Styela clava: one gene and its partner. The protein of the gene in region 1 interacts with the protein of each later gene in a biochemical or structural test. Links are inferred from orthologs where the notes say so. Each region holds a gene or a part of one and is shown on either strand. Other genes may lie near its edges.

Region 1 (10,145 bases):
GGTAGGGGGTATATTCACTTGGTTAACACAAACTGCCCACAAACTCCTGTTAGAACTAAAATAAGGAAAATCGAAATAAAACTATGGCATAACCTGGTGCACACGCCACACACTATGGGAATACCAACATTTCTACTGTCATTAGGGCTTTTTCTTACCTATATAAAGCGTTACTTGATTTTTCTGAGCTCATTCGAAAAGTCAGAGTACTTGTAGATCCATCGTCCAGAACAGTGTCAATGTCAATCATTTTTCCTGTGTGCGTTGCAAGCTGAACGGCAGTGAATGGTATTCTAAAGAAAAATAAGGAATTTATTAAAACTTTGTTGAACTAAAGGTAATGGTAGATAAGTTAAATCCAAGTTTTTATGAGGAATTCAATTACAAAGAATTCCAAAGCAAAAGTAGAATATATGAAACTTTGTTAAATTAGAGTTAACAAGACCCGAGAAGTCAAAGGTTAAATTCAGTAAATGGTTTTTGACGGTATCGCATCGCTAACTCAAGAATCTTATTGATTTAAGAGTCTTGCTCACTAACACAAATATATAATTCAATTATCAAATTATATATATATATCTGGGGATGTCTGACCTTGGTCAATGAAACGTTACAGAAATACATTTGTGTTAGTGTGCTTTGTGATAGACTCTTTATCACTTAGGATAGTTATCTTCACTCGTGCTGCGTGTGTTTTTCATATCATATACATATGTTTCACCAGCTTTGTTAAATTAGAGGAAACAGTGAACAGCCAGGTCAGAGAAATCATAAGTTAAATTCAGTTTCAAGGACAACCGTGATTAATTAAACTAGTCATGGATGACTAACAAAATCTGCGAATGATAAGTCCTTATTGGTTATGAGTTCCTGATTTTTATACCTTCCGCACATATATATATATATATATATATGAATTTGTAGAAAGTAGGAATAAATAATCACTGACTCAAAAAAAAATCCAATGAATGCATATATTGAGTACCGGAATAAGAAGATATTCAATGATTTATAAAAATTCATTTGATTATGGTAAGTTTCCAATTCATCCTTTCAAATCATCGTTTTCTAACGGTATAAATTCAAAAAATTTTCTCACCTTCTAATTTCTTCCGATTTTTCTTCTACAATTTCAAGACCAAATGGACCAATTCTCATCAAAACATTGGTTGTGTCTGCAGGAGAGAGATTTGGCATATGAGGGTGGGAGTGCGGTACTTCAATTTTACCATTGAAAACCTCTGTCCCATAACTTGGCAAATCTGCTGCCTCTTTCAAGAAAAAGTACATGGCTCGAGATTGTGTTTGTCCTTCTAATGATTTGTGAAAATCAGCAATTCTGAAAAATAAATATTTCTTTACTTAAACTACCAATTCCATAACAAAATTAATATTGTTGAAAAAGGGCAAACAGAAATTATGTTATGAAATTTAACAATATTTTTAGGTACAGTATTGTGAAAGTTAGGCCAGTAGCCACACTCATCACAACACTCGAAATACTGTTTAATCAATGATCTCAAACTCGCAAAAATTGAGCAGGTAATTCAAACTGAATATATCTTTTAATTAGTACATTTGTAATATTCTAATCTGTGAATAATACACCAATCATAATGTTTTTTCAATGATTACCATCTTAGCTAGGATTCAATCAAATGGGCTAGTTCAGTTTAATATAGCAAGAAATATAGTGTCTTCAAATCTGCTAGATACTAACCCAGTAATATCTTCATCTGTCAAAACTTTGTCCCCGAACTTCAAACTTTTATAGATATTCGTTGAATCCATGGCAGAACAATCCCCATGTTCAACTTGTGCAAGGTACGCCGCAAGCTGAGGGATTTTGTTTTGCGGAACTGTTAACTTCCCGTCTATGACGTCTTGGCGAAGTTGATAATAGAAGATTTGTCTGAAATAGTTTCATTTTTTTCATTAGTTGACGAATTTTATAAATTTGTGTATAGAATTAGATAGTTCGCATTAGTGTATTTGGAATCCTGAATCCTTTTATAAATTCATGTAAGATATGATATAAAAACATTTACACTAATGGTTACTTTTTAACTTTTGAATATTAGCATGTTTGGCATTCCACAAAACTTTTTTAGTTGATTTTTATATTGAATCATGTTTAGGAAAATGAATGAACCAAACAACAGTATGTTTAAAACAGCTGTGAGTGATATGTTCCAAATGAAATAATAATTCAAAATATTCAATATGAAGAAATGCATTTGAATACCGTAATTGGATGTTTTGAACAACTATGCTTTGCCAATTAATCATTTGATAAATTGATGGAAATAAATTTGTCACTTGAAAACTAGAACCAACAGAGAAAAGAGGACAAAATCGTAATTTTGGTTTGGTGTCGAATACTTGATAAATTGATATAAAACAAAAAAAATCCACAAACCTGGTAGATTCCTGCAGTAACTGATGAGGTTGAATGTAGTATTTCACTCGCAATCTTAGTCGATATGGTGGTTGACCAGATATTTGACCTATGACCCTATTGCGGAGATTCATCCAGAAAGGTTCACGCTTGACTGGACATACTTGAAGACCAAAGTAATCTTTTTCGACGGTGCCGATCAAATCGCAGACCTTTGAAATTAATATGCATAATTTATTACAAGAGTGCTTGCTGTTCATCATATGGGATTAAAATTCAAAAGCAAAAAAATCAAAGAGAAGTAATAAAAAAATGACTGTCAATATCTTGCTTATTACAGAAGATTACAGTCATCTTTTCCTTTTAGAATCAAATGTTTTTATGAACTTAATATAAAATTCTCCATCTTTTTAATGAGTTGCCATTTTGTACTTTTAAGCCAAACAAATTATTCAAATAGAAGTAGGCTACTAATAAAATATTACTATACTATATTATATTATACTAATACTATATTAATAATAATATAGTATAAAATACTACTATTTTGGCAATAATTGGGTATAAAAATTCCAAATTTTCAAATACTAGATTTCAAAGAAAGCAAAAATTGGAGAAAACATTTGAAAGATTCTGCTTCTGAAGTTCTACACTTTATTATATCTAGGTAAATATGATAATTTATGAAATATTAATGTAACTAAAAAAAGGCTGTATGACACAGAAAGAAACTCTTGAAACACACGTTTAGTTCAAATCAAACCTACTCAATTTTCAACTGAGCAGGGATATTGTGTTTGCGAGAGACGATTTTTTATTTAAAAAAAAATTGGGTTGTATTTTCAATTTCCATTTTTGTTTAGCGTTACTTAAGCACTCACAGCATTCAATATCACATTTGTGTTCAGCGGTATTCAAGCAGTCACGGCATTTACTTCGCGAGACCCCTTTTTTTCTATTGGTATAATCAAGTTTATTTCAAAAGTTAGTTACAAAATAATCAAGTACCGTACCTTCTCTAAAATATCTTGTCCAATTGCATGTCTGTCGACATCAACTTCCAGAACAACAGGTCGAGTGTCAGGTTTTGACACATAGCACAGTATCTGACCAGATTGCCAATTGTATAAATCTAATTGAAGACTCATGTTTGCACCACTTGTGCAAGTTTTTTTCGATAAAAATTCTTTAATAAGTAAGTTTTGTCTGAAAAATAATCAGTGTTGAATTGACTTAATATAATATTTGTAACTAATATAGTGACAATGAAGTCGCTACATTAACTACATACTTTCTTGACAATTCCCTCGCATTTAACTACAGAAAATCGCAAATTCGCATTCATACGGTAGGCTACCTTTCACTGTTTCACGTCACTCTATTCTGGTATACTATATTTAATGATATTCCTTCATCCTTTTGTCTGTCTAAGTTACAATACCACAAATATTTCAACCCTTTATTCAAGGTGTATTTATCTTAGACCGTTGCCAAATTTCGCGCACATGTTGCAACAAAAGACCTCGCGACTGACTTGCTGCAGCGCTGAACCGACGCGGTCACAGGAAATTGGTAATTTGACACGCTTACCAGCCCACAGTTTTACAGAATAGTCTTTATTTCAACATCACTATCCATTTAAGCTTAGCTAGTAATATTACAGCCTAAAGCGCACTTTTTGATACTTTTTTCAAGTAACGATCACTAACCGAAGAGCGAGGGATGACCGCCACCGACCTTCCGAGGGAAACATTTTCATCTACCGAATCGCGGAGCGTCAGCTGGTTTTGTTTGGCTGTGAAATATTCTCGCATTGTGATTGGTCAATCGTGTACTGTGACGTAACATTACTTGCGAAACATATCGATATGACCGAGGGTTACCAATTTTGTGAACGATAGTAACCTCTCTCGTTTGGGTTACAAGGATTCAGTGTATGAAAGCAACCTTCGCGTTGTTAATATTTAAACCTGTATATTCCGTCGTCATTTCGACGTTTTTATTAATTCTTTAATATTAAATAAACATGGCATTACCTGTTGTTTGCTAGATCTGAAGTACCGCAAAATGGCGACCAAAAACGCTGTATTAAACAGTAACGCAATTGTGAGCAAAATCGAAATTTGTTTATGAAAGCAATTTGTGAACATTATTCGGTAAATTTACATTCAATAATGCGTCAAATTATGAATTCGAAACTAAATTGAGTTTAAGCATTTTTTTTGAGCTTCAAATTCAACCAAATCGCTTGCCCTGAACACCAGTATTCTTAACCACACGCCAAAATAATAAATTTTTTTTATCATACTTCCTTCATAACATGCAACCAAAATCAAATTTGTTTAGAACGGGTTTCTGCGTTAAGTTTGAAATGCGACACCCAAATTTGCAGGCAATATAGCGAACAAATTTGTTATGCCGGCAATTACATGCCATCAAAAGTTATTAAAGCAATATAAACGATTGCGCCATTCCAGTTTTCGGCGTTATTTTAGGGGAAGCGAGTTCGTGCAAAACCCGTTTGGAATAGTGATAGGCTACTCTATGGTACAAATCGCCAGTTCCGCAAAGACGCTGCTTTATTAGCGGTTTTCCACTCGATTTATTTTGCTCACACAATTATCAGGTAAGATTTTCTTTCGATGTACTCTTTGAAAAGGTTTGGTGATGAAAATTGGTTATTTGTATAATCTTTTTAGAGTCCCATTTAACCTAAAGTCAGAAAATGTTTGCATAAAATAATATTCTCTGCCGAATGGCCAACCGTAGCCTCTCAACTCAATAATCATCGATTAAACACGATGAATGGACAATAATCCCGGAAGTGACGATATACCTGACCTGAATTGTTCATCACACATCAATGCAATACGGATAGTTGCATATGGTCCATGTTTCACTACAGTTTTATTGTATATAATGATGAAATAATAGTATAAGGCACATAGGTATTCCAATAAACATTCATCCAGTACTCATATATTGCGCATTATTTATAAGCGTACACTGCAATTTTGCACAAGTTTCTAGTATCGGTATGTATGATGCGATGGAAGGCTAATGTACACGAAAATCTTCCTTCAAATTTTTCTTCAATCATTTTTTTTAATTCTTGATATTCGTGTTTGGGCAAAAATATGTGAAATTTAAATGATAGTACTAAAAATGATTGACAGGGATATTCCATCATTGCAATATTCGTATGACGGTGGTCAAGCATGAAATATAACAAAATAATGAGGCAATAAAAAACACACTTATGTGCGAAAACGTACCGTAAAAAGCTTGCTCTCGATTAAAATCGATTATACAAGAAATATAAGACACTAATACTGATACGGCGAACATATTTACTCGAAGTTGTCGTTCTTGATTCCGCCCACGAAACACGTCTGCACCTCGTCAACTTGGCTTTCGTCGATTAACCATCAAATAAACAACAAATCAATTTTCTCTAAATCGGAAATTTAAATTCTATTTAATTCAAGAGTCTTGATGCACACTTACACAAATATATTTCTGTAACTTTTCGTCTGACCAAGGTCAGACTTTTTCAGACAAGCAGTTTACAACTATGACAAGAAACGCAATTGCATGCACATAAAAAATGGTATCAAAATTTCGGTTTTAGAGTTCTGGCACTGTTCCAATCTTAGTTATTTCTTTCTAACCCAAATTTTGATGCCATTATTTATGTGCATGCAATTGCGTTTCTTGTCATAGTTGTAAAATGCTTGTCTGTAGAAGTCTGACCTTGGTCAGACGAAACGTTACAGAAATATATTTGTGTAAGTGTGCAGCAAGACTCTTGAATTGAATAGAATAGTCATTTACACTCTTGCTATATAGCACCCTTGCGTAATACGCATACGGATTCATCAGCACAAAGCCATAGAGCAAGGAAAGGTAGTTAGTTTCACGTAACCCCAACTGTTAGTTACGGAAATTCAAAACAAGGAAAAACATGTCAAACTTGTGTTGCGGCGCAATGGGACATTGATTTCGACTTGTAAATAATCAATTTACACGAAGCAATATTTAAATTACTCAATCGACGAGGATATGTGTTAATAGAAAACACCCTCTATTGAACTTCACTGCGGAAGTTTAATTTTATTATATTTTTGCATTGAATAGATGATTTTACAACGAAATATTCTAATACACAAGTACATTGAGGAGACGAAAATGATTATTATTACATTACATGGTTGGTCGGTGTCCGGTCTTCGTATTGGGGAAACACAATTTAAAATTGGCCTTATATCACAGGTATATGTGTGAAAATGGGTTGAAAAAAATCTTCTTTCATTTCGGATAATTTAATCAACTCTGGTACGAAATAAAAACATTATTTAAGCGTAAACAAACACTGAGCACAATTAATGGGTGCTGTTGTTTTCAAATAAATTTATTTCGGTGTATTGGAAAAACTTGTTCTTAGTGTATTTATTGAAACATGTAGGCTAGCCATCGCGTTTTATTTTTCTTCTTTATGAAAAATTACATCAGAAAGTGCTATTGCAACTTTCATATACATTGAAAGATAAACAGGAAATTCTATTCGATCTTATCTCGACAATTCACAACCTATGAAGGTTAAATTTTAATAAGTCAACGAGGGAACGCAAGCAAGGTTTAATAAATAATATATTTCAATCAATCGCCTTTACTAGGCATAAGTGGATGAATCTCTATTTTTCTCAGTATCAGTACCGTAGGTCTTAACATTTACCGTAATATAAAAGCATATTAGGTCCCAGAAACAGGCGAACATGCGACTGGTAACCCAGATGAACATTCAGAACATGTAATGACAATCGTAGACTAACAGATTGCCATACACCAATATGTAGGGTCCATAAAGTCTGAAATAATATTTTAAAATTGCAAAGGGAATTTATCGATATCATATGCCACCACAAATGTAATGAATAAAGTATATATACCAGAACAATTACTGATTAAAAACCAACAAACCTGGTTAAGATATATTGAAAACTGACTTCAAAACAGAATTGAAATTGCAAGGGGACTTTATGGACACCTTGCACTAAATGTATAATTAAACTATAAATTCCAAACAGAGCCCCTGTGGCACTACCGCCTTTAGTTGGCCGCACAAATAGAAAATATTTACCGCTTGTCAAACAAAATAAAATGCTTCGTAACACAACAAAGCCACAAACTCACTCGCATTGTAAATATTTTGTTCGTTTTCCACGATGTGCTGAGAGTGACGTCACAGACCACAGAAAAAATATTGTTATTTGCGAAAAGTTTCATGTTCATAATATTATGCAAACTCAAAAGCGTTTGAAAAATTTTGCAATTTCGTTAAACACGCTGACCCACAAAATCCATATTCTTGAACGTTCTTCAATTAACTGGTCAAACGATCTGAACCCGTTACCGGTACCGAGCAAGAGGTAATATGGCTCGTCATATCACTATGTCGAAATAATATATTTCCTCTCAAATTATGAACGTGGAACTCTTGCCTTGTGTCTACTTTTGGAAATATTGAATCCGCATATGTTATATATTAGAAATTCTACCACAAATATTTCTAGCATTCCCAAACTCCAAAATATCCTCATATATATATGTGACAGCGACAGCAGCACGTCTGCTCCAAACGACAGTTTGCTAACAACAAAAAAACAGAAAAACAATTTTGCAGATTTCACACTGTCGAGACAAATGAGTCAGTACATGCTTCAATGATTTTCTTTGTTTCATCACAAACAACGATCTCCCTCATTCAGAAATCGAGAGGTTATATATTATCCCATGCCGAATGTGAGAGAGTGATAAATCGCGCCCTGTTACTGCGATTCACCCTTGGTCGATTATGGTGCTAGACAACGCACTGTTAAATTTGATACTTTGCCGTGATCCCCTTTACAGCGATCAGCTGGTAATTTCGTCGTCGTCGTAACTTTGAAGTACTTTTTCGCTTCGGGGGATTTAGCAATTAGCGAAATCGTATTTTGTAATCTACGTTGGTGATTTAATCCAATTTGCGGATTTCTGAACTTCAAAAACTGCACGATCATGAAATTTTGGAATAAAAGTGTCAAAACAAATTAGACAATTTCATTTAGTATCAAAATACTCAACTTCAAATTTTAACGACCTTGGTAAAAATTGTTATTCCTAATAATACTAAAAGAGCGATTTATCATTTCGTCAATCAAAATGTATTGCGGTGTACTAGGATTTTTTATATTGGGCTCTATGTTCTTTCTCTTTGTCTATTTCATTTTTCCTACTAATTCTCACACTTAATAATACACCCCACTTCCTACAGCACTACTTCTCCTTTGAATGTAGTCATCGATATTTGGTATCAGTAGGAATAACGTAACAAGCACTAGATTTTTCTGGTAACGGGGTACACGGAGCGGGAATCAGATAATTTAATTATTCGTTTTCTTCTGATACTGACAACGTATTTTTCGGGGGAAACATTATTCTTCTAACCAAAGTCATTGAGCAGCAAAAACAGAATAATATTCGTTCGTCATCCGTGGACATTATGTCAAATAAGCCCAAAGCCCAAAGTGGCTTCTACGGATGAGGCCATTCGAATGACGTTTGGGACCATACAACAATCCATGACCGACATTATCTATTGCGAGGCCGTGTGCGGAATGAAGTGCGCCGGACCTACTCTGGCTAGCAATAATAAATGAAAAATTATTTCGTCTTTATATTTTATAGGTACAAAAACACGATTACAGTGACTCACTTTGCGAGCTTGTGCGGGGCTAAAACATTCGGTATATAAAAAAATGTTATAATTGATATTTGTTAAATTTACTATTCTTCCTCTAAAATTAGCGCGGGGCCTCCAATGTAAGTGCGGGCCCACCGTGGTCGCCGCGCTGGCCTGTAATAATTTCTACATCTAACTTATAAAGCATTATAACCCACTCACTCATCCCATTCCTATTAGTTAATCACCTACAGTTTTTCATGATTACAAACAAATTTGACCTACTGTAACGAACTTCTGCATAACATTCTTGACCATTCATTCTGTATTTTTCTGAACGGTCCCTAACGGATCGCGCCTTTGGCTATTTGGCAGCGCAAAAAAAAAGCGCAAATGCGAGGTCTTCACGTTGTCAAATCTGTAGTATAGCGTTACACATGAAACACAAACAATTAGAAAACACGTTTCCTTACGTGTAATAACTCAAATTACTGTTAGAAATGCTCAACAATATCACCCACATGTCACATATTGATGTATGCTACTTCCGAGACACAAGTTAAAGTTTCCATTACTTTAAAATCAAACTCTTTATGTCAAAGTTTTCGATAGTACACGCCTCCAGGCATAGAGTGTAGTAAACAAATCCATCGATGAATTTTGATTGATTTTTGCAGTTTGCTGGAGTTCGTGTCATTCCAGTATAAATTCACATTCACTAATCATTTACTGTGAACACGTACAACGATCGAAGACAAATAAATACTTAAACCCAAGGTTATCAGGCTGTGGAAATGACAGTTCTTATGAAAATATAAGAATGACAAATCAGTCTTTCTAAGTAATATATATATTTGCGCTCGAAAATAATATATTCCTCCTATTTGGGACTTTGTGAATTTCCCCTTACCTGAAACTCAAGTGTTTTTTGTGCTATTATATATTATGCTGATAAACAATTGATATTTTATCTCTAGCCTAATATTGTTGCTATAAGAGACAATTTATTGCTCGTAAGTTCGGTGG
Region 2 (10,075 bases), on another chromosome or scaffold:
TACTCAGAGGCTCAGAATAACTAATGAGGAAAAAGTCAAATAGCAATTCAATTTGTACACATCAGTATATAAGCTTATGCATAGAATATATTGATTGTGGCCAAATGTTTGAACAATTTGACTGGTTCAACGAAATAAATAGTAACCGAAACAAGGGTTTAAGACAGTCACTCAAGATGATTGTATATATAAAAGGGATGGCGAACCTTTTACAGTGAGTGGGTCAAAAAATACATTTTTATCACAGAATAGAAGAGAGTGGGTCACATATATTTAATCAATATTTCATCTATAAGAAACTTCTGAAACAAATCTCATTAGTTTCTGTTGGTGATGGTGTAGTTTTGGGCTTTACTTCTATCAGGAACGGCACTCGATTTTATGAAATTAGAGTACGAAAACATGCATATGAATTAACAAAAAGGTTTAGGATGATGAGGCAAATTATTTTACAGTTCCAAGCAGTTTGGAGGGAATTCCACTCTGATAGTGTTATATTTTCCGATCAGCTTCCAACCACATTAAGGCACTTTTATACTGCCCCATTGTTATTTCAGATTTCTGGGTTTTTATTTCAAATCTGAAAGATTTTTTTTTTCTCATTGCCGTTGTAGGCGAGAAGCTAATAAAATGCAAAGTAGCACCCAGTTCTCGTTTAATTCCTAAAACAGTCTGCAGATGCATTTCCGAAAGAGACGAGACGTTGCGAGAAATGAATGGATCAACTGCATTGTTATGTCATAAACGATGTCAGAGCTAATGAATAGCTGAATAACAGTACACATCGGTGCAGACATGCGTCCAAGATTAGGGGTTTTGAAAATTATATTATAAAAAAATATTATACCGGAAATGATCAGTTGGAATATGAGCGATCGCAGCCCTGACTACCCAACGGTACATTATAATAGTTTAGTTATAGTTAGACTAATTTAAGGCCAGCTTTATAAATTTTTATCACTGATATTTTAGCATTTTTTTTTTTCAATTTTATTCGTGCCTTTGCGGGTCACAATAAAAAGCGGTGGGTCACTTTGTGACCCGCGGGTCAGTGGTTCGCCATCCCTGGTATATAGAATTCATATTTTCAATATTCATCTGATTGCTATTTATTTTCAGTATCACCTCATTCTTCCAGTTTCTTTATCTTTATTTCTCACATAATCACTTGAAAGTTCTGTGCAGACAGATTCCAAAACCTCTGTTAGGTGACCTTCAGATCTAGCATATGAAACCTGTTTTTTTTTGTATTTTGTCATGTGAATGTTTTATATTAGCTTTGTTTTTAGAAGTGTAAAATATAGGATTATCTTTATCAGCACAGAAATGTATATGCAATTTTGTACATTTGTGTATATATGTATAGTGTTGTATTTTTGCATCAATGTGGTGTGTGTTGTTTTTGTATATACGGGTGAGAGAAAAAGAACAAAAACAGAATTAGCTAAACATGCTGATCAAGTCAAGCTGATAAACACATAAATTATTTTTGTCTACACAGTGCAACACAGAAATCCCAATAATGGAATTGATTGACAAGTGACAATGATCAGATATTACAAACACTTTGATTGATAAGACCGGGTGAGTTTAACTGAATGTTTTTGTTTTCTTTTAGTACAACTAGCCAGGAAATCAATGTATGACTGATTGACTGATCACTTTAATTGATAAGATCAAGGGCCCCATTGGCCAAACTTCGTAAAAAGCCGCATTTACGAGCACGTAACCTTGTCTCTCAAAAACACAGTTACTACATATCGTTAAGTGCGATTCACGAAACATTTTGTAAAAACCTTACGCCCAGTCACGCAAGTTCTCTCGAAACGGTCTGTTTTACATTTTGCAGCCTGTGACTTAAAGTTTGGGGAATATTGCAGTAATCTATGGATGAATGAAATAAATTCTGAGATACATACTGTTAAACTACTTCTGTAACAGACAACAAAATAGATGAATATGTAATCCCATATTTGATGTTGGTACAGTGTTAGTTGGCATATATTGGTGGGTCCACAGCTACTAGACTACAGTCACTCTTACCTAAATTAGGCATTTAGGGAATTTTCATACCAATTTTTGTATGCAAACACCACGGCATTTGTTGGGGTGCATGTCGCACATACTTGTCTTAGGCCAGTAAGGTATTGAACATGTATCCCGTCTTAGTTGTACCGTTTAATTATTATGTATATACTGTTACAAATAAACACACATACATTTTAACCTGAATTCATGCTAGAAACTGGCCAAACTACTGTTAACGAGTAAAATTTTCCCCTAGTCAGTTTGCGAGCACTCCGGCGCGTTAAAGAACTTGGGTGAATACAGATTCTCAGTAAAATGAGAGAAGAAGGCACTTTACGAGACGTCTGTTTTGGTGAGCAAAAAATTCTCTCGAATATTAACGATACTTCGAGAAGACCATTTTTGCCTTTTACGAGAAAGTGGGTGCTTTACTAACACGTTAAACGATAAAGAAGTTCGGCGAATGGCGCCCCTGGTGAGTTTGAACTAAATGTTTTTTCTTTTAGCACAAATGGCCTGAAAAATTCCAAACTCTCCTTCCCAATTATATGACAAATGAAGGAGATAATGTATGTATGACAAACTAAAAGGTGGAGGTAATAAGCTGATTAAAAGAATGAAACAGACTGTGATAAACTTAGCTAGGTTCCATACACAGGGCATATGACATCATTCGAGATAGTTGACCAAAAATATATCTTCAGGATTCCAATCAAAGGATTAAGTAAAATCAACTACAACAAATTAGTATGATGAAGAGAGCCATGCATCACACATTCTACTTCCTTACAGCATATTTCAATTTTTTGGAGATGTCGCCACTAATTGAAATGTTGTTCAACGCAATTGCCTCCCCATCCCGAGAACTTGTCCTCACATATTCTCGTTTTCCTGAGTCAGATTTGGATTCTGCATAGCCATTCATTTTTGAACATACATCTTCCAATAACTCAGTTAAGTGTATTTCAGATCGGGCATATGAAACCTTTTGTTTTTATTAATTCAAGGATCTTATTAATTGAGATAATGATCAATCGAGTTTCCGTTAACATTTATGGCTAAATTTGTCAACAACTACATAAGCACATTTCTCATAAATCAAGATTTGGTTGTATTCATACAGTTGCATTTTAAGCATATTTCAATTTAAAACAAATTTATGACATACAGATTCAAAATACACAGTCTAACATTCGATATTTCGTTGGATGAGAACAGAAGGGGCCTAAGTCACATTTTTGCAAAATTCACTTTTTTCAATATTTTGGGGTTTTGAGCCATGCTCTACTACAAGGTGGTAGTCTTGAAATTCTGAATTTCTCAATACTAAAAATTTTAGCTGGACTTAGAACTATAGAAGTTAAGAACAGAATGGGCCTAAGTCCAGCTAAAACTTTTAATATTATGAAATTCAGAATTTTAAGACCACCACCTTGTAGAGCATGGCTCAAAACCCCAAAATACAGAAAAAAGATAGTCCCAAGTTCCAATAGGATGGGCATAAACATCAGAAATAAAATGTCTGAAACTTACATCCCTAAAAATTTGTTCAGTGCAACTTAGGCCTAAGTCACCTTGTTTTGCCTTGCATCCCATACAAAAAAATTCAGAAGAATGGGCCAAAGTCCATTATGGGGTTAACAAAGCAGGAAGGAATTGAAGCTGAAGTGCCAAAAAATATTGATTACAAAGATATTCACATCCACATTAAAATAACCAGAGCTCAGGTCTTTACTAAGTGTGAAAATCTAGAAATTCAAAAATAAAAAAATTCCAAATGTTTTTTGCGTTTTTCCCAAAACTCAAAATTGTGACTTAGGCCTGTTCTGTTCTCATCCGTCAATTTGGAAAATGTTAATTGGAAGATTACACCGGTATTGAACTAGCTCTAGTTTTAATTGTTTCTCAAAAAATAAATTCTGACCAGGAAACAAAATGTCTCAAGTTCTTCAATAATTCCATTATGAACAATTATGCATCATATTTATATATAAATGATATTAAAATGATATAACGTCACCTTTGATGACTTTTGTTTTCCATTTGGATCAAGTCTAAAAGTTCCAACGTCAATTGTTTTCTTTGGGTCAACCTTGTTCACAATGTATTCAACTTCGTTGACAATGGCTTTACATGCTGCTCAAAAATAAAAGGTTTCAAAAATCAAATTGAGTGAGGAACCAGGTGAATTGATAATTCGTCTCAGTCAAATGTTCGACTAGGATAAGAATACTAAACAACAAAATTTGATTTATTTACCAGCCATGATGTATCATACCCGAATAGATACTGGGAAGATTTAAATTTGTTTCAAGAGTGAGTCATTTTTATCAAATTTGTACTGCCAATGCCAACATGTTAGGTGAAGAATATATTTTCAAACGAGGTTAATAAAACTTTTGCAGATAGCTGATAATAAAAAACTGACATGGCAGGCAGCGAACGCCAGAAACAAAGTTCAGATTCTATTTGTTTACTGTATCTCATTATCATTAATCTTGGAATCATTTATGTCAGTATGTAAAATACTGTTGTTGTTTGCTTACAGTAAATCAAATTTTTAAAATTGACCCGATGACAGTAAAAAGAGAGAATGTGAAAAAAGTTCAGAAAAATTGAGAGAAATTTCCCAAATACAGAAATATTTAAAATTTTACCCTTTACCTTCTAGTGAATATTTATTATAGTCTACCAATGATTAAGCACAACCTGAGCATAATTGCTGATTTAAAATCCTTCAAAAACAAATGACCACATATAAAAAAAATTATTTTATAAAAAACATTCAGTTTTCAGATAATGTTAGGCCTACCTCCACAGTAAAGATCCAAGTCTTTTTTTCCTGAAACTGCAATATACTGAATCAAAGATAAATGCAGAAATGAATATGTCCATCTAAGAATCATGGCTTGACGACAAAAAAGTTGCATAAAAACTTGTTATACTAAAAGTGTCAAACAAAACATTGAAATCGTTAAAGGAATGAATGAAACATAGGCAAAACAAATTGATGTCGTTATTTCAAAAACCCATTTTTGTACTTTAAATAAGGCTGGTCAAACTTTCAAAGGAATAAGATATTCAAAATAAAATGTCGCTTAAATTTAATAGCAATTAAACTAGGGTGGCTTACCCACTTTGCGGCCATGACCTATCTGCGACCATCAACTTCATCGATTAAATTAATGCCGAAAAAATTAACGAACCGTGACGATATTTCTCACGCGGTATCGTCCCCTTATCCCTCGTAGCTCTGCGAAATTACACTAAAATGCGGCCACAAATAAAAAAGTTACGACCGAAAACCTGACCGAAGAAAAAAAACGGACCATTTTACCATGTCGCAAACTACCCATTGTTCCTTCAAAAAAGCTTGAAAATCCATACAAATATAAGGGATAAAGAGATGAAACTTGACAGGTGGGTAGAGTTGTGTTTCTTTTAACCATCTTTAAAGTTTCGCGTTACTACCTTCAAAGGAGGGGGAGTAGGGGGATGCGCATTTCCAATACGTCAATAATATCTTTGTCAACTAATTTGCGACCACCGTGTTTTTGTCTGTTTGATTGCTGTGATGCGGTGCTTTGTTTATAACTTGAAGAATTTTGTTTGAAATAATCTTGTTCTTAAAATATATGACGGTCAGAAATGCAATTAGAAGCCCATTTTTTCACGCATGGCTGCGTATGCCCTAGTCTCGACGCAGCAGAAACGATGTTCAAGGCTTGAAATCCGTGATCGCACACTGGTCGTTCGGTCGCAAATACGTCTTCAGAGTGTCGTACTTTGGTGGTTTGTATAGCTTTAACCCCTGGTCGTAGAAAGTTAATTCGAAGTTCAGCGTGTAGAATAAATGCCAATGCACCTACGGTGAAAAAATTAACGGGTTCCGGTCAGAAATATTGGTTTTCGTTTTATAGCGGTTTGGATGAAATCGTCCGCAGACTGGCTACACCACCCTACTTATAACAAAATAGAAAATCAGCAATAATGCTCCCACAACAGCGAGGAGTGCGGCAATCCTCTTACACATAATTATCCCCACATTGGATTCACCCCCACAGCACAGCAGCAACGCCGCACACAGACACAGGGTAATCAGAGGTCAGGAAGTGCGATCTGGCAGTCGCGAGCGTATTCAGGTATTCCTAACGATTTGCCACACTACTGCTGCACTAAATACATAAATAGGTCTAAACTGAAGTTAACGATATTTAAAGGTTACCGGTCACCGACTGAAAGGTGAATTATTCACTGTTCACGTTTATAATTTTCGTGTCGAACCGAACCGCAGCACCCTTCCGCAGAATACCGACACGACCTAAGTCAGCATCCTGATCACGAACGCTACCGCCACTGCCAAGACGACACATCGCATGGATTGAACACGTTGGTAAGCTAGTAAATACAGAATTATCGGTAGTGGTGCGTCACTAATCAACACACAGTTCCGCATTTTCGCACGTAAAAGATAACCTTTCACCTCAACTAGTTTTGGACATCATGCATTTCGTGTTATCGATTATGCAATGCTTATGGATGTTTCTCCCCCTTTTTACGGATCAGAATGACAAGTATGAAATCCAGCCCAAATGCCTTCATACCCAGGCTATGCCAGAAATTCTCAACGAATTTTTTACTGAGGCTTCACCGCCGAATATTGATAATGATGAAATAAGCGATTCCACAAAAATTTGTATGTCTGATTGCCAATACCTTTCTGCCACTAATTTAGATACCCTATGCAAGGATGACATGAACCCACTTATCACAATGTGTATCAATATGAGTTCCTTGGCCAACCCAAGCAATTTTTCCAAACTTGAAGCTCTTATAGTCTCAATGACAATTTGCCCAGATTTAATAGCAGTCAATGAAACATGGCTAAAACCAAACCAGCTAGGATCTCATATGAACCTGGGTGGTTATACTTTTTTATCAAATTCGCGTGTTACTTTGAAGGGTGGAGGTGTTGGTCTATACATCAAAAAAATATTACTTTCAAGGCTAGACCTGACATTTCAGTTATGAATGACCGAATTTTTGAATCCATTTTTGTAGACATTTATTTGAAAGATAGAATTGTGACCTGTGAAACAATTTACAAATCCCCCTTATCAGATAGTCAAAGCAATAATCAATTTATCAGTATTCTCGAATCAACACTCCAATCCTTATCGAAAAATAGTACTATCATGGGAGACCTCAATTATAATCTTCTTGAAACAAATAACAAGACTGTAGATGAATTTTGTGAACTGATGAACTCAACTTCTTTTTATCCGGTGGTATCATAGCCAACTCGAATCACTCAAAGCAGCTCTACAATCATTGACCACATTTGGGCTAATATCTTTGATTGTAAACCCCTTAGTGCAATAATAGTCGATCCTATTTCAGACCATCTGCCAGTTCTAGTTTGCATTCCACTGAAGAAAAAACATTGCAAGACAGAAAACGGATACTTTAGGGCTTAGGCAATATAATATCTCAAATTTAGATAATTTTAAACTCCTGCTAGAACAAAGTGACTTTTCTGTCGTGTTCAGCAAAACAGATCCCGATATAGACTTCAGAATTTTCAATGAGTATTTTACTGAATCTTTCAACACTTGTTTCCCTCTAAAGAAAAGAAATACTAAAAATATTAATAAATGGTTTGACAAGGAACTCTTAAAAATGCAGAAAAAAAAGCATAAACTATACAAAAACTATCTTACTGTAAAATCAGAACAGTCTAAATACAAATATTCAGAATGCAAGAAAAAATATGAGAAATTGATAACTGTGAAAAAACAAAATTACTATAAGTCATTACTAGGTAGACATCGTAATGATCTTAAGAAGACTTGGCGTACTATGAACGATCTGCTTGGACGCTCTAAACCAAATTTAACAAAAGTATTTTCTGTTAATGGACAGGAAACCTCTGATCTTGTCAAATAGCAGATCATTTTAATTCACACTTTTCTACAATTGGGAATAAAATGATTGAACGGTTTCCTCATACCACAAGGGATGACTTTAATCAATATATGGGACAGCCCAGTAAAACTTCCATGTTTCTTGCCCCGACATCGGATTTCGAAGTCCAAAATATCATGAAATCTTTTCGGCCTAAAACCAGGTGTGGAATAGATGGAATTCCCTTTAAAGTAATTCGAATTATGCCCTGAAAGTGTATTTGTGCCCTTATATATATAATATATAACACACATATTTTAACTGCTCCTTACAATCTGGTAAATACATAACCCAGTTCAAATTATCCAAAGTTATGCCATTGTTTAAAAAAGGAAATGCGAAAAATGTAGAGAACTACCGATCAATCAGCTTACTTCCCGCATTCTCCAAAGTACTGGAAAAAATCATGTACAAAAGACTCAACAATTTCCTAGATCAAAAAAATTTCTTTTATTCCCAGCAATTTGGTTTTCGCCATAATCACTCGACATGTCATGCAACATCTCTACTTGTCAGTAAAATTTTAGAAGGATTTGATAAGAATGGGTATACTCTTAGTATGTTCTTGGACCTATCCAAGGCATTTGATAGTATTGACCATGACATATTACAGCCAAATTGCACCATATTGATGTTAGAGGTCAGAGCTACAATTGGTTCAAAAGCTATTTATCAGAAAAGAAACAAGTAGTAATATACAATGATGTAGCATCCAGCACATACTGTAATTTGACTGTAGGCACATTACAAGGTTCTATTTTGGCTCCATTATGTTTTTCAATCATTATTAACAATTTTCCAAATTCTCATCTTCACTCTGATATCATACTGTTTGCTGATGACTCAACGCCATATCTTCAAGGCAAAAACTTGCCTGAACTTTTGACCAAAGCAAAAGCGGATTTGAAAAATATTCAAGCACAATTAATGTAGAGAAAACTAAATATATGGTATTTAGCGCGCCAAAGCAAAAGTGTCCAACATCACAACAAAATCTGGATGGAATAAATATAGAAAGGATTAACCAGACGCGATTTTTGGGCGTTATAATTGATGATAAATTGTGTTGGAAACAGCACACAAACCTGGTTCTATCGAAAACAAGGTCGTCTCTTGGTGCTATTACAAAAATAGCCAACAATTTGAATACATCTTGTTTAATAGAAAGCCATATTCGATATTGTGCCTCAACTGATGTTCATCGCCAAACGTCCATTATCAAAAAAATTCAAAGTGTATGCAACCGTTTTATTAGAATAGTTTTCTATAGGGGAAATCGAGAAAAAGTTGATGACTTATTTAAAGAATATAAGCTACTACGAGTTGAGGATTTAGCCAAATTTGAACTATGCAGCATAATGTTCACTTGCTACAATGGGCAACTTCCATCCAGCCTGAACAGATTGTTCAGAGCGAACCCAAATTCAAACAGCAGAAATAAAGAAAAAAATTTTATTCCATATGTTGCTAAAAGTATCTCACAAGAATCCATTCCAGTATGTGGACCAAAAGCTTGGAATTCCCTACCTAATAGCATCAAAAAATCGAAATCAAACTCAGAATTTCGTTCCAAACTTATGCAACATTTGTTATCGTCATATTAGTCGAACTCTCTGTTTTGAACATATTACTGTTTCGGAGCATATATTTTTTTTTAAGGTGAATTGAAAAATGAGGGGACGATTATAGACCCTTTGGATTGAAACCACCATCGTGGAACTTCGAAGGCTACCAAACCACCACCCATCAGAGTGCGATTTCAACTCCACAGGCCACCTCAGCAGGATACAATATGAAACAATGGACTGAATTAATATTTAGATCACCGTTCTAATTCTATTGTCATGCGGAATTAGACAAAGACAAAAGAACAGCAAATTAGGTCTAGGATAGCATACTACATTACATTTACATCAAATTTAAATACAGCCATCAATAGAGTGAATGCTTTTTGTTAAAGTACCATGCTGGGACTTCTCTTCCTCTTATCGGTCATCGCACAAAATCAAATATGTTTTCCCCTTCCCTCACCCCAGGAAACTATACTATTCTCTTGTGATTTTAATTAAACTTGGGCACTCCA

The links.
Region 2: the proteins of E3 ubiquitin-protein ligase MYLIP-like (region 1) and protein canopy homolog 1-like form a complex in vitro, tested with the Homo sapiens proteins (2 studies listed by BioGRID). The link is inferred for Styela clava from reciprocal best matches to the Homo sapiens genes MYLIP and CNPY2.

The regions. Positions count from the first base shown.
Region 1 is NC_135262.1:4,059,149-4,069,293, forward strand, and holds the start of E3 ubiquitin-protein ligase MYLIP-like, read right to left. Parts: upstream 4,167-10,145; 5' UTR 4,158-4,166; coding exon 4,108-4,157; intron 3,605-4,107; coding exon 3,412-3,604; intron 2,611-3,411; coding exon 2,420-2,610; intron 1,913-2,419; coding exon 1,721-1,912; intron 1,340-1,720; coding exon 1,100-1,339; intron 294-1,099; coding exon 159-293; intron 1-158. UniProt on the Homo sapiens protein: E3 ubiquitin-protein ligase that mediates ubiquitination and subsequent proteasomal degradation of myosin regulatory light chain (MRLC), LDLR, VLDLR and LRP8. Activity depends on E2 enzymes of the UBE2D family.
Region 2 is NC_135252.1:240,737-250,811, forward strand, and holds the start of protein canopy homolog 1-like, read right to left. Parts: upstream 4,997-10,075; 5' UTR 4,959-4,996; coding exon 4,841-4,958; intron 4,165-4,840; coding exon 4,049-4,164; intron 3,014-4,048; coding exon of another isoform or gene 2,819-3,013; intron 1,236-2,818; coding exon 1,126-1,235; intron 1-1,125. UniProt on the Homo sapiens protein: Positive regulator of neurite outgrowth by stabilizing myosin regulatory light chain (MRLC). It prevents MIR-mediated MRLC ubiquitination and its subsequent proteasomal degradation.